Linked DNA regions of Danio rerio. The protein of the gene in region 1 binds, or shares a complex with, the protein of each later gene. Links are inferred from orthologs where the notes say so. Each region holds a gene or a part of one and is shown on either strand. Other genes may lie near its edges.

The links. The genes of interacting proteins can lie anywhere in the genome.
Region 2: sybl1 (region 1) and stx7l share a complex: the UniProt entries of both Homo sapiens proteins name them as parts of the SNARE complex. The link is inferred for Danio rerio from reciprocal best matches to the Homo sapiens genes VAMP7 and STX7.
Region 3: sybl1 (region 1) and bet1l share a complex: the UniProt entries of both Homo sapiens proteins name them as parts of the SNARE complex. The link is inferred for Danio rerio from reciprocal best matches to the Homo sapiens genes VAMP7 and BET1L.

The regions. Positions count from the first base shown.
Region 1 is NC_133189.1:9,609,540-9,613,712, forward strand, and holds the start of sybl1 (vesicle-associated membrane protein 7), read right to left. Parts: upstream 2,801-4,173; 5' UTR 2,623-2,800; intron 1-2,622. UniProt on the Homo sapiens protein: Involved in the targeting and/or fusion of transport vesicles to their target membrane during transport of proteins from the early endosome to the lysosome. Required for heterotypic fusion of late endosomes with lysosomes and homotypic lysosomal fusion.
Region 2 is NC_133195.1:49,559,274-49,563,493, forward strand, and holds the start of stx7l (syntaxin-7), read left to right. Parts: upstream 1-1,420; 5' UTR 1,421-1,469; intron 1,470-4,220. UniProt on the Homo sapiens protein: May be involved in protein trafficking from the plasma membrane to the early endosome (EE) as well as in homotypic fusion of endocytic organelles. Mediates the endocytic trafficking from early endosomes to late endosomes and lysosomes.
Region 3 is NC_133200.1:8,372,459-8,376,738, reverse strand, and holds the start of bet1l (BET1-like protein), read left to right. Parts: upstream 1-1,480; 5' UTR 1,481-1,530; intron 1,531-2,159; coding exon of another isoform or gene 2,160-2,429; 5' UTR 2,430-2,432; intron 2,433-2,596; exon of another isoform or gene 2,597-2,658; 5' UTR 2,659-2,729; intron 2,730-2,890; 5' UTR 2,891-2,928; coding exon of another isoform or gene 2,929-3,165; intron 3,166-3,249; coding exon of another isoform or gene 3,250-3,405; exon of another isoform or gene 3,406-3,437; intron 3,438-4,280. Other genes in the region: kcnj11l (potassium inwardly rectifying channel subfamily J member 11, like), read right to left, coding at 1,273-1,480, 2,160-2,429, 2,929-3,165, 3,250-3,405. UniProt on the Homo sapiens protein: Vesicle SNARE required for targeting and fusion of retrograde transport vesicles with the Golgi complex. Required for the integrity of the Golgi complex.

The DNA of each region.
Region 1 (4,173 bases):
TGTGAAAAATATGGAAGTTTTATAGAACTGTATAAATGTACGAAATATAACCATGAACTAATACAGTGTTTAGTTTACAAAATCATAGCTTAGTGCACAAAAATGTAAAGTCTTTAAATGCAATAATGTGTTCACGTGTGATTGCAACTAGCAAACAGATTTTGACTGCATTAGTAACTACACAGTCACCTTTAAACAAAAGAAGATGCAGCATAACATTAAATACTCTTTAGTTCATCTTGGACTTGAACACAGACGCTACTAACCTCCACAATGGTGACACAAAAACCGTTTTGCTGTTTTTTTTCTTCCTTTTTTGATTTTACGGAAAAATACCAGCCGCTGTGGTTGCCAGTAATCTGCTGTTTTCAACATTTTACATTCATGAATTCAGTTTACAAAATATTTCTGTTAAAAACACATTCCACAGTCTGTATTTTTCATCGAACACCATGGTTAAACAATACAGGGTCATGTCAGAAGTTGTCAATGAACAAATGGGCGAATATAAAACCGACTTTACCTTTTATCCACTGTTTACCAGGCATGCGTTCATACACTGTAAAGTTGCTATTAAATTTGCACATTCGTTTACTGACAACTAGTGACATGCTCCCTATATTGTTTAACATGGTAATAGAATGGAGTATTCAGTGTGAAATTGCACGTATGAATTTAAATCAAAATTAGCATTTCACCATTTAGAATTTGCACAAAATACTTTTCTAAAATTATATTATTAAGGAGAAAGTCTGAATGTGGGGATATAAAACCAACTTTACCTCAACCGTATACAGAATCTTCTGAACATACAGAAGATATAAAAAACTGCCTTCTTTCATCTCCGCAATATTGCACGGATCAGACCATTTCTCTGATGCAGAGAGGCTTATCCATGCCTTCATCACATCACGTCTTGATTTTTGTACTTTGTACTGACTTTTTGGGGGTTTACCTGCAAGTTCTCTCAGAAGACTACAATATATACAAAATTCCGCTGCACGGGTTCTAACACACACATCATCACGCCACCACATTATTCCTGTGCTACAACAATTACACTGGCTTCCTGTAAAATCACGGTTTGATTTTAACTTTTAAAGCAGTGCATGGGTTAGCACCCAGTTACATCTGCAACCTGTTGACCCTCGCCACCGGAGCCTGCAGTCTTCGTTCTGCAGACTTACATTGCATCAGCCACGGTGTAAACTCAAGACCATGGGTGGGAGGGCTTTTTACCGTATACAGAATCTTCTGAACATACAGAAGATATAAAAAACTGCCTTCTTTCATCTCCGCAATATTGCACGGATCAGACCATTTCTCTGATGCAGAGAGGCTTATCCATGCCTTCATCACATCACGTCTTGATTTTTGTACTTTGTACTGACTTTTTGGGGGTTTACCTGCAAGTTCTCTCAGAAGACTACAATATATACAAAATTCCGCTGCACGGGTTCTAACACACACATCATCACGCCACCACATTATTCCTGTGCTACAACAATTACACTGGCTTCCTGTAAAATCACGGTTTGATTTTAACTTTTAAAGCAGTGCATGGGTTAGCACCCAGTTACATCTGCAACCTGTTGACCCTCGCCACCGGAGCCTGCAGTCTTCGTTCTGCAGACTTACATTGCATCAGCCACGGTGTAAACTCAAGACCATGGGTGGGAGGGCTTTTTCACACAGTGCACCTAAGCTTTGGAATGTACTCTCCATCAGCATTAGAAATGCTGCCTCTGGACTGTTTTAAGAAACTTCTTAAGACTCACCTTTTTAGCATAGCTTTTAACTTAGGATGATCATTTTGTTTAACTTTTTATTTCTATTTTATGCTTCATATTTTTATTGTTTTATTGTATCTTTTATTGTTGTGCTGTTTTGTTTGCCTTGTGTATTAGTGTTTTGCCTGTAGCGCTTTAAGTATAAAGCGCATTACAAATCAAATGTATTATTTTATATATTATTCTATATTATGCAACAGGCAACTATCAATGTTTTGATATTAATATATGGATTTGTGAGCTTTTAGTTTATCTGACTTACTGTATACATGCATATCAGACACAGTTAATAACATGACTTGCGTAAATTACAAGCAACACGATTTCACAAAAGTTAATAACTGAAATAACGTACAGTAAAAGCTATAATAGATGTGAAGTTGGTTTTATAATTATATTCGGATATTCAGACATTCTCCTTAAATGTCATTAAAGTATTTGCAAATTCTAAATAGGAAAATCATAAAAGCAGCCAGTGACTAGCAAAGTACAACATTGTCCACAATCAATTAGATAATGTTAAATGTTGTTTTGAAGACATACTTGCAAGCTAATTTCGATCGAATATTCAACGTAACATGGTAAACAATATACAGACTGCTAAATGAACGAATGTGCGAATATAAAACCAACTTTACCTCTATAAAGCTATACAATAATCGCACTAGTTGTAGTTATTATTGACTAGTCTATAGGACATCAAAACGACGAAAAATAATAAAATAACAGTGTCTACGTGACATTAGTCTGATGATAAAATACTGTTGATGAAATCAGATGAAGTCGATGATATGATCTGTTGATCGATCATCATCCGCTATATGTACGTTACCTGAGATTCTGACGGACAAACAGCCGCTCGTGCTCCTCTCTTTGACGTCTTTAACCCACAGTGGCATAAACAGCACTTTCATTGCCTTACAAACATGTCTGAAATGCTAGGATTGATCAAAATAGCGCCGGTGTGTGTAAATCCAGAAATCAACAAACGTCACTGTCTTCCGCGTTTCGTCATTCACTGGCGACCACGAAGAGATGTCTGCATTGCGTCACACACGCGCGCGCACGAGCTGTTTGTTGGTACTGTACGGTAGATAGTGCTGATTTAATCATTTTGATGTGATTAGGTTTGTATTGTGAAATAAAGCACTAGGTTTGCGATGCAATTTAAAGATATGGATGTTTTAACGAGTTCTGTAGTCTACATAAAAAAAACGAGCAGTGGTGGAAAGATTGTTGAAAAATCATACTCAAGTAAAAGTACCATTACTTGCCCAAAATGTAGTGCAAGTAGAGAAAAAGTATGTAAATATTGCTCAAAAAAATGTAGAAAAATCATACTCAAGTAAAAATACTATTACTTGCCCAAAATGTAGTGCAAGTAGAGTAAAAGTATGTAAATATTACTCAAAAAAAAAAAGTAAAAAATAGCCCTTTCAGGCCCGTAGCCAGTCTGGTGAAAGGGGTGGTTCTTTTTTTCTCAAAAAGTGGATTTTTTTTGCACTTATACACCTCAGTTTCTATTTAACTATGAGATTTAAATACTACATTTTAGTCATATATATATATATATATATATATATATATATATATATATATATATATATATATATATATATATATATATATATATATAAAATTTTTTTTTTTTTTTTTGCTGGATTAGCTAGTCAGATGTTATCATAATCACACTTTTTGATGTACTGAAAATATTTCCTGAAAAAATGCAATAAAGAAAAATTAAAACAAGACTATTTTTAAATACAAATTTATTACATCATTTATCATTAGGAAAAAATAGCAATCTGTTAAAGTTTTAAAGTAAAAAAAAGTAGCCCACTATCATTTATTAGACAAAAAACAAACTGGCCAGCACATTCAACTGTCCTCAGTCACAATTTGGCCATTTTAATAAAAATTATAATTAAAACATAATAATAATAATAAAACGATAATAATGAATTCTTTAGAAATTTTCTAGCCTCTTTGGTAAAAAAAAAAAAAAAAGTATAAAAATTCCTGAATATCAACAACACCCAGATAGCATACAAATGTAGGCCCCTTTAGGCAGTTATGTTGCACTGTTGGTCTTTTTTCGGGCCAGACAAAATAAACGTGAGCCTGAAGTGGTCCACCTGTACAATGACAAAAGGTGGCCAAGATTCCAATTAATATAAGGACCATTTAAGGCAAAGATTTGGCACTTATGGCAAAATGTAATCTGAATGTGAACCTAATGTGGCCCATGTGGAAAATGGTCAATTTGGCCCAAATGATAGAGGACAAATGTGGGCCACATTTGGCAAAAATTTGGCATAGTCATTAGAGGGTAATCTGGGTCTAAACTCAAAGTGGCTCACATGTGTAGGTGCAAATGTGGGCC
Region 2 (4,220 bases), on another chromosome or scaffold:
TACAAACAGTGCACACAAAAAATAAATAATTAAATATATATATATATATATATATATATATATATATATATATATATATATATATATATATATGTGTGTGTGTGTGTGTGTGTGTGTGTGTGTGTGTGTGTAAGTGTGTGTGTGTGAGTGTGTGTGTGTGTATGTATATATATGTATGTATGTATGTATGTGTGTGTGTGTGTGTGTGTGTGTGTGTGTGTGTGTGTGTGTGTGTGTGTGTGTGTGTGTGTGTGTGTGTGTGTGTGTGTGTGTGTGTGTGTGTGTGTGTATCAGGCCCGGATTGGCTAATCGGGAGGACCGGGAGAATTCCCGGTGGGCCGGTGCGTTTTTTGGCCGCGAGGGCCGGTGTCCCTAGCTCTAGAATCTGTTGCTCTCAGCAGTCACACTTTTTAAATTAATTTATTTACTTACTTGACTACAGTCTTCTTATTCATCATTTTACCGCAGCTCTGCTCTTTTTATATATGACCAGCCTGCAGGTTAATGACGATATTAGTCAGATGAGTCAGTCCTTCATATACAACTGTTGTGGTCCAGTGGTTAGCACGTTAGATTATGACGCTAACTTTCAGTAACTCGCAGCGACATATATAATATATATATATTTATATATATATAAATAATTTTTTTTGTCAATATTTAATTTACTATTAATCTCACTTAATGACAACGGTGAGCACACTGTTTGCAGCACAAGACTATTCTTGGTTTAATTTTGGGGATCGTCCTCTATGTGTAGTCGTGGCCTTTATTTTTTATGTACACGCGTGCCGTAAAGGTGTCAGAGTTTAACATTGTGCCATTAATCTAGTGTAATAACCCCAGGGGTTGGAATCCAATGGGAAAAGAATTGAAAGGCTGATGGCTTTTTATTTGCATGCTGTTATTTTATTTAACTATTAAATACCATGTTTATCTTCTGTAAGTTATGGATAAAATATGGCTATTCTAATAGTTTAATAACATATATTAAAGAGAAATCACCAAGCAACCCACCCTCATTGTCTCACAAACCCCAATTTGGGAACCACATAGCTATACTACTAGTAGCCTACATAAATGTTTATGTGAAGTATGCTTAAGATATATCAATATTAACTAACTATACTTAATAAAAAGGAACGTGAAGTATACTTCTTTTTAGTAAGGTTAGGCTACTTATTACCCATGTGGAAACCAAGTTAAAGTCTACTTTATTTTTGTTATGTAGGCTAGTTTTTTTTTTTTTTTACTTTTTTAATTGGGGTAAGTTAATAATAATAGACATCTGCCTAGTATTTGTCGATCTAAACATATAGTACATAAACTCAATAGTTTAGTATATGCGTCAAGTACATTACTAATCTACTACATGTTTCTGAACGCACACGGAAGATAGAACAGAAGTCACGTGACCCGCGCGTCAAAGAAATCAGCTGAGGGCTCGGAGTTTCACTCAGGAAATCCAGGTAAACCGAACAACCAAAGTACATATTAAAGTAAACGATGCGTATTTATAAACTGTACATGTGTGCAGACTTTACGTAAATAGTTGTTGAGGGTAGTTTAAAAGAGAAGTCAGTAAAGTAGCAAGCGCAAAGTTCATTCACTGAAGCATATTTGTTGACAGCGCGATTTGTGTTCACTTGACATGAAACTACACTGTAAGATTCCCGAATGTTAATGTTTGTTGTGTGTCAGCAAAGTTAAAACAATAGCTGTCTAGTTTTATAAATGAAAATGCGTGTTTGTGAGTTTGTGAGCCGTGATTTCCGCATTCTTTCGTTTTGCAGGTGCAGCGCAGATCGGTTTTACTAGTCATCTGTTTAGTACTAGCCTGCTAACCAATAAACAACATTACGCCAGCTATTTTCGAGTAATTATTGAGCTAATAAGGCATATTTCAAAGCAAGGTGAGCAACTATATGGGGCAAGTTTTCTCGTTAATTCAAAATGACAACAGTAATATCATTAAGGGAGATTCTAAAACGCATGAAATAAGCTTAATAATTGAGGTTAAGTTGATTTTATACTATAGACTTTATCCTTAATAATATAATTTTGGCTAAGAACTGCACATTCTGATTAGGGACATCATATTAGCATCTAATGACTTTCAAAGTACACGCTGCTCTCAGTCAATTAAATAATGCTAATGTTTAGGTCATACTTACATGTGATTTCAGACTTCATATATAAAGTAGCATGGTAAACAATATAGGGAGTGTATCACAAGTTGTCACTGAAAGAATGTGCGAATATAAAACCAACTTTGCCTCAATAGCTTAATATACCTAAACATCAACCAGAGAAGCCCACATTTCGATCAAACTTTACTTGTAATTAACCCGAACTACTGTTAAGACAGAGTCCCAATTCCATAAGTGAAAAATATCACGCTAAGCGTTTTCTCCACTATTGAAGTCTATTATAAGTAAAAGCTTAATGTGGCTTAATGTACCTCAACAACAAGTGGGGGGAACCAAATTTCTATCAAATTTTACTTGTGGTTAGCACTAACTATATAGCAAAAAAATTAAAAATTTGCCCCATTTCCACAGCTTAAGTGAACAGCGTTTTTCCCTATGTTGTTGTGGGGATGTCAATGACATGCACAAGTGCATTCTTTTGACAGCAAAGGGTTAATCTATAATAAATTAAGTTAGATTTTTTGAACAGCTTTTTTATAATTTGGTTTCCCTCTGTTTTTAAGTCAAGCTTTCCTTATTAAGGACTTCAACGGGGAAGAAAACACTTAACGTGATATTGTTAACTTTATCTGTGGAATTAAGGCCCATTCTTTTAAAAATAGTTTGTCTTAATCACAAGTAAAGAAATTTGGGTTTCCCTGGTCTGGGTTAAGATATGTTAAGCCACGTTAAGCTGATTCCTTATAATGCGCTTCTGTGAGGAGAATGCTGAAAGTGATATTGCTCACTTGATACACTAAAATAAAAGCTTGTTCTTTTACAGCAGTAAGTGTTTTTCATGAATATATATCTATAGAAATTTGATTGTCTCTAGATGTTAAGTTAAACCACATTAAGCTGTTATAATGGACTGAAATGGGGATAAAATGCTTAACAACATTGTCCGCTTTATCTACAGACTAAGGGCTTGATCTTTTGATAGTAGTTAGTGTTAATCACAAGTATTCGATAGATTTTTGGTGTACCCCACTTGTTGAGGTATACATTAAGCCATGTTAAGCGTTTTCCTTTTATAATGGACTCAGTGGGGAGAATTGCATACCGTGATAATTTTTACCCACTAAAATAAGAGCTCATTCTTTTGACATCAGAAAGTGTTTGTAACTTTTATAGAAATTTGGTTTCTCCCACTTGCTGTTAAGGTACATTAAGCCACGTTAAGCTTTATCCTTATAATAGACTCCAATGGGGGAGTAAACGCCTAACATGATGTTTTTCAATTTATCTGCTTAATTGGGACTCATTCTTTTTACAGTAATTAGGGTTAATTACAAGTACAGTTTGACAGAAATTTGGGGTTTTCTGGTTGATGTTTAGTTACATTAAGCCCCGCTTTCTTCATGTTAAGCATTTTTGAATGTCCCCATTAATATAATTAAGAAACGCATACAAAATAGTGAGCAATTGTTTTGGTCTCCAAATAGTACAGTACGTTTTAAGGGTAACTTAAAGTTGGTTTATATTCACACATTCAGACTTTCTCCTTAATATAATTTCAGAAAACTATTCTTTACTAATACTAAATAGTCAAATCATATTCCCAGCAAATGACAATTAAAGTACAGCATTGTTCATGGTCAATTAAATAGTGCTAATGTTGTTTTGGAGGCATATGATTCAGACCGAATATTTAAAGTAGTAAACAATATAGGAAACATGTCACAAGTTGTCCCTAAATGAATGTGGGAATATTAAACATTAATAAGTATGTATAGTTTGTGTAAAACATGTTTACAACTCGTGAAAGTCTGTCACTACTTGACATTTATTAAAAACGTCGCAAATCCAGCATTTCAGTTCATACATGTTAATATACAAACTATTCTGTAGCATGTAGGATCAAATATAATGATAGTTGAATGTTATTGAAGGAAGAAATTGATAAGCCATATGTAAAAACACGTTCAAATAGTATGTTTTAGGAGCAATGTATATAAGAAAACATGTTTATGAATAAATTGTATAAGCTTGTTATTATGTAGCGCAGTATAAGAGATAATTGTGCGATTG
Region 3 (4,280 bases), on another chromosome or scaffold:
TAGATTTTTCTAATATCGTGCAGTCCTACTTAAGGTAATTTTTTACATTCTTCAGCAAACACTGAGAAAATAGGTAAACATGTTTTAAAGCATTGTGTAATCATTATTATCAATAATAAAAATGTCTTGCAGGTAATTCCAAAATAAGTGGCATTAATACGGTGAAAATTTCATAGTAAAATATTCTAGAAAGCCTAAAATTATGACAGATAAGGCATTAGAAGTAGAGTATGTTAACAGGGACACCAATAGTCCGACATTAATAAGATTAAGACAATACTCTTAATAAGAGTCTACTATGTCAGAACTTAATTTTCAATTAGTAATATGCATTACAGGCCTGTAGCCAGCCTGGTGAAGGGTGTGGATCTTTTTTCTTAAAAAGTTGACCATTTTGCATTTATTCGCCTAATTTTTTTCTATGTAATTATGAGGTTAAAATAAGTTGCATTTTTGTAACATTTTAAGCACTATTTTTTTGCTGGATTAGCTTGTTTGATGGTCATCATAACCACATTTTTGATGTTAAGGTTTACATCAATTATCATTTACATCATATACATCAATTGCATCATTAGAAAAAATAGGAATTTGTTAAAGTTTTAAATTAAAAACTTTAGCCTATTGTTATTTAAATATCATTAACATAAAAAGCAAACCGTCCCGCACATTCAACTTTCCTCAGTCATGCTGACGCAACAACCAACACAGGATTCCACATGGTGTTAAAGCCTTTTTCCATGGATTATTTTCACAACTTATTATGACATAGTAGTTATGGGCCTTTGTCAATGAGGGGTGGGTCTTCTGAACCACCTGAAACCCTCCCCTGGCTACAGGCCTGCTTTGTTAATAACTTAATTTAGACAACTTTAAAGGCAGCTTTCCCAATATTTAGATATTTTTAAACCCTCGGATTCCAGATTTTGAAATAGTTGCATCTCAGCATCAATGACAAATGTATTTATTCAGCTTTCAGATCATGTATAAATCTCAATTTCCCAAAATTGACACTTATGATTGGTTTTGTACTCTAGGGTCACATATTAGAGAGCTTATCTATGATAATCCCTTAAAAATACTTTGGCTTTTAAACAAAACAATTACATTAAGCAGACTCTATTCAATCAAACATTCATTCTCCTTCGGCTTAGTCTCTTATTTATCAAGGGTCACCACAGGGAAATAAACCGCCAACTATTCCACCATATGATTTATGCAGCAGATGCTCTTCTAGCCACAACCCAGTACTGGAAAGTAGACTCTATTCACCTTCTAAAATGACAATGATCTCCAGATCTTCGGTAGCCATTGACTGCGCTGAGAGCTCGTACAGTGGACTCCCTCTGTCAATGGTGTGACTGATAATGAGTGGAGAGACGAGGAATATGCCGTTGCTCCTGAGAGGGTTTTCCACCTGGATATCTAACTGACAGACGGGAATCACTTCGCCCTCCGCTGTCACTGTCCGCCGAATAACCTGAGGAGCAAATATCAAGATCAGGATGGAATCAAACTCAAGAATATCTGGTACAGACATGATATATAAAGCATTTTTGGCTCACACTTCACATAATTTGTGTTTGTTATGATAATCAATGTGTATGAAAATCACTCTCCATGTCGAATTTCTAAATTCTTGCATTCAAGATGCCTGAATAGATTTCCATTCTGCCAAGTAATGGCAGAATTTTAATTTTAAGGTGAACTGTCCCTTTAAGGCAGAATTTATACTATCTTTAAAGCTACATATCTGCCATCATTTTGACATCAAATGCCTTGCTTTTATGTTGTCTGAACCTGGTGATAAAATAATGATTAAATAACCTTAGTTTGAAGGACATATTAAAGATCTATAGCAGTGTTTCTCAACCACGTTCCTGGAGGACCACCAACACTGCATGTTTTGGATGTCTCCTTTGTCCGTCAAACCAATTACAGGTCTTTCAGTCTCTGCTAATGAGCTGACGGTCTGAATCAGGTGTGTTTGGTTAAGGAGACATGGAAAATGTGCAAAGCGTGTGGTCCTCAAAGAAACGTGGTTGAGAAACACTGATCTAAAGGACTAAAATGAAGAACTCTCTAATAGAAGGTTCTGTGGATGTTAAGGTTCTTCAATGATTTAAATACATCAGTAAAGAAATAAACACATCTGTCACCTGCAGCTGTATGTTGGCAGAGATGATCATGCTTTTTCTCAGATCTCCAACACGAAACATCAATGTCGGTCTGCCATTCCTTGGGGCAATGACTGCGTTGCGGGAGAAGATGAGGGTTTCTGCTCTGCGGTTGGCTTGAGCTGTCTTCATGAACACACAGCCAAGCATGATGGCGTTGATGATCAGGCCCAGAATGTTCTGGATGATGAGGACTATGATGGCCAGCGGACACTCCTCTGTCACCATTCGTCCTCCGAAACCAATAGTTACCTGGTATTACAAATGCTTCATTATCTTACAGACGATTTAAAGGGGTCATGAACTGTGAAACCTAAAAATCACCTAATTTTTTTTTTTTTACATATAAGAGCTCATAGTTCTCTAAAAATATCCTGTAAGTTTTAGAACTGAACACTTTGTGGTTCCTCTAAATACAGATTATATTGAAGGCAGTCTGAAGATAACAGATTCTTGAATGTTCTACTCTATGATGTAATAGAGTGGATAAGCCCCGCCTCCACAGAAGATTGACGTCAACTTCTACTTCACATCCTGTTCAGCGCTGTTAAGGTATAGTTTACCAAAAATATTACATTGTTTATTCTCCCTCAGTTTTGACAACTAGTATTACGTTTCAGTCAGTCCAATCACAAGTGGATGACATTAAATAAAAATGTATGCGGAGTCTAAAATATTTAGATTACTGAAAATGCATGTCATAATAATTCTAGATGGAAACAGAGTCATATCTATCCAGATTGATCCTTACCTGCACTTCAATGGAGAACAGAAAAGCAGAAGTGAAGGAGTGAATGGATGTGACGCACGGCACAGGTCCGGGTTCATTGGGATCTCGAGGTTCTAGATCTCCATGAGCGAATGCCAGGAGCCACCACACCATGGCAAAGAGCATCCAGGAGCAGAGGAACGCTGAGGTGAAGATGAGCAAAGAATGCTGCCATTTCAGGTCCACCATGGTGGTGAACACATCTTGGAGAAACCGACCCTGAGAAGCAATAATCTCTTATGAACACTGCAACTGAGTCAATTGAAACTTTTCTTTAGCCTAGAACTGATAGGAAAATCTCACCTGTTCTCGAATATTCTTGTGGGCTACATTACATGAGCCGCTCTTGGTGATAAAACGTGCCCTTTGTGACTTTGGCCGGATGCGGCTGGGTTGTGCATCTTCAGCGAGTCGCGTTAACAAGAACCCATCAGGCAAAAGACCTTTGCGGGCCAACATTATGACAATTTGTGGCCAATTGGTGCTCCGCACTGTAGAAGGAATTTAAAAAAAAGAACTAAAATATACAGTAACACTAAGGGTTTCTTGAAAAATAAAGAAAAAATTATGAAGTACATTTCAGTTAATTTAGTTTATCTTTAATTCTTTAGCCCTTTTTACAATGTAAACAATATACAAAGCAGTTTGACATTACATTTTATCATTAATTCATCATTAAATTTAGTGTTTTGTTTTACTTATACTGCTAAAAAAATAATAATAATAAATTAGGTTTACAGTATATATGCATTGAATTGCATAATTTTAAAATCTTTTACCTAAAGGTAACGTTTTGCCTAATAATAATGCAAAAGGTTACATTTATAAATTACATAATGAATAAGGTTATAATAACATTATAATAAAGGTTACATTAATAAATTATATTATTAGGTTATAATAAATAAAAATCGAAGAATTTTTGATGTAACTCGTAATATAATAGTTAAAGCTTAATTTTAATTATTTTTTTTGTTTATTTTATGCATAAACAGATAACTCATAAATTGTCTTTTGTTAGTTGCACAGATATCAAAGCATATTCATAATTTTAAACAATTACATTTATATTTCTTTTAGTTTTTATATTTAACTAATTTAAAATATAATTATTTAATTAAATAAATGGTAATCGTTTATTAAGGGAAAAACTGGCATGAAACTGTCTAATCACGAGCGACAATGCTATTTTGAATAGTTTAGTTTCACTCAAACATAAAATATATACATGTATTATTTCAAATATATACATATATTATAACGTTTTATCATAATTTGGTTGTACATCATCAAAGAAGCGCGTAAGCTCATCGATTATTTTACATATTTCAAAG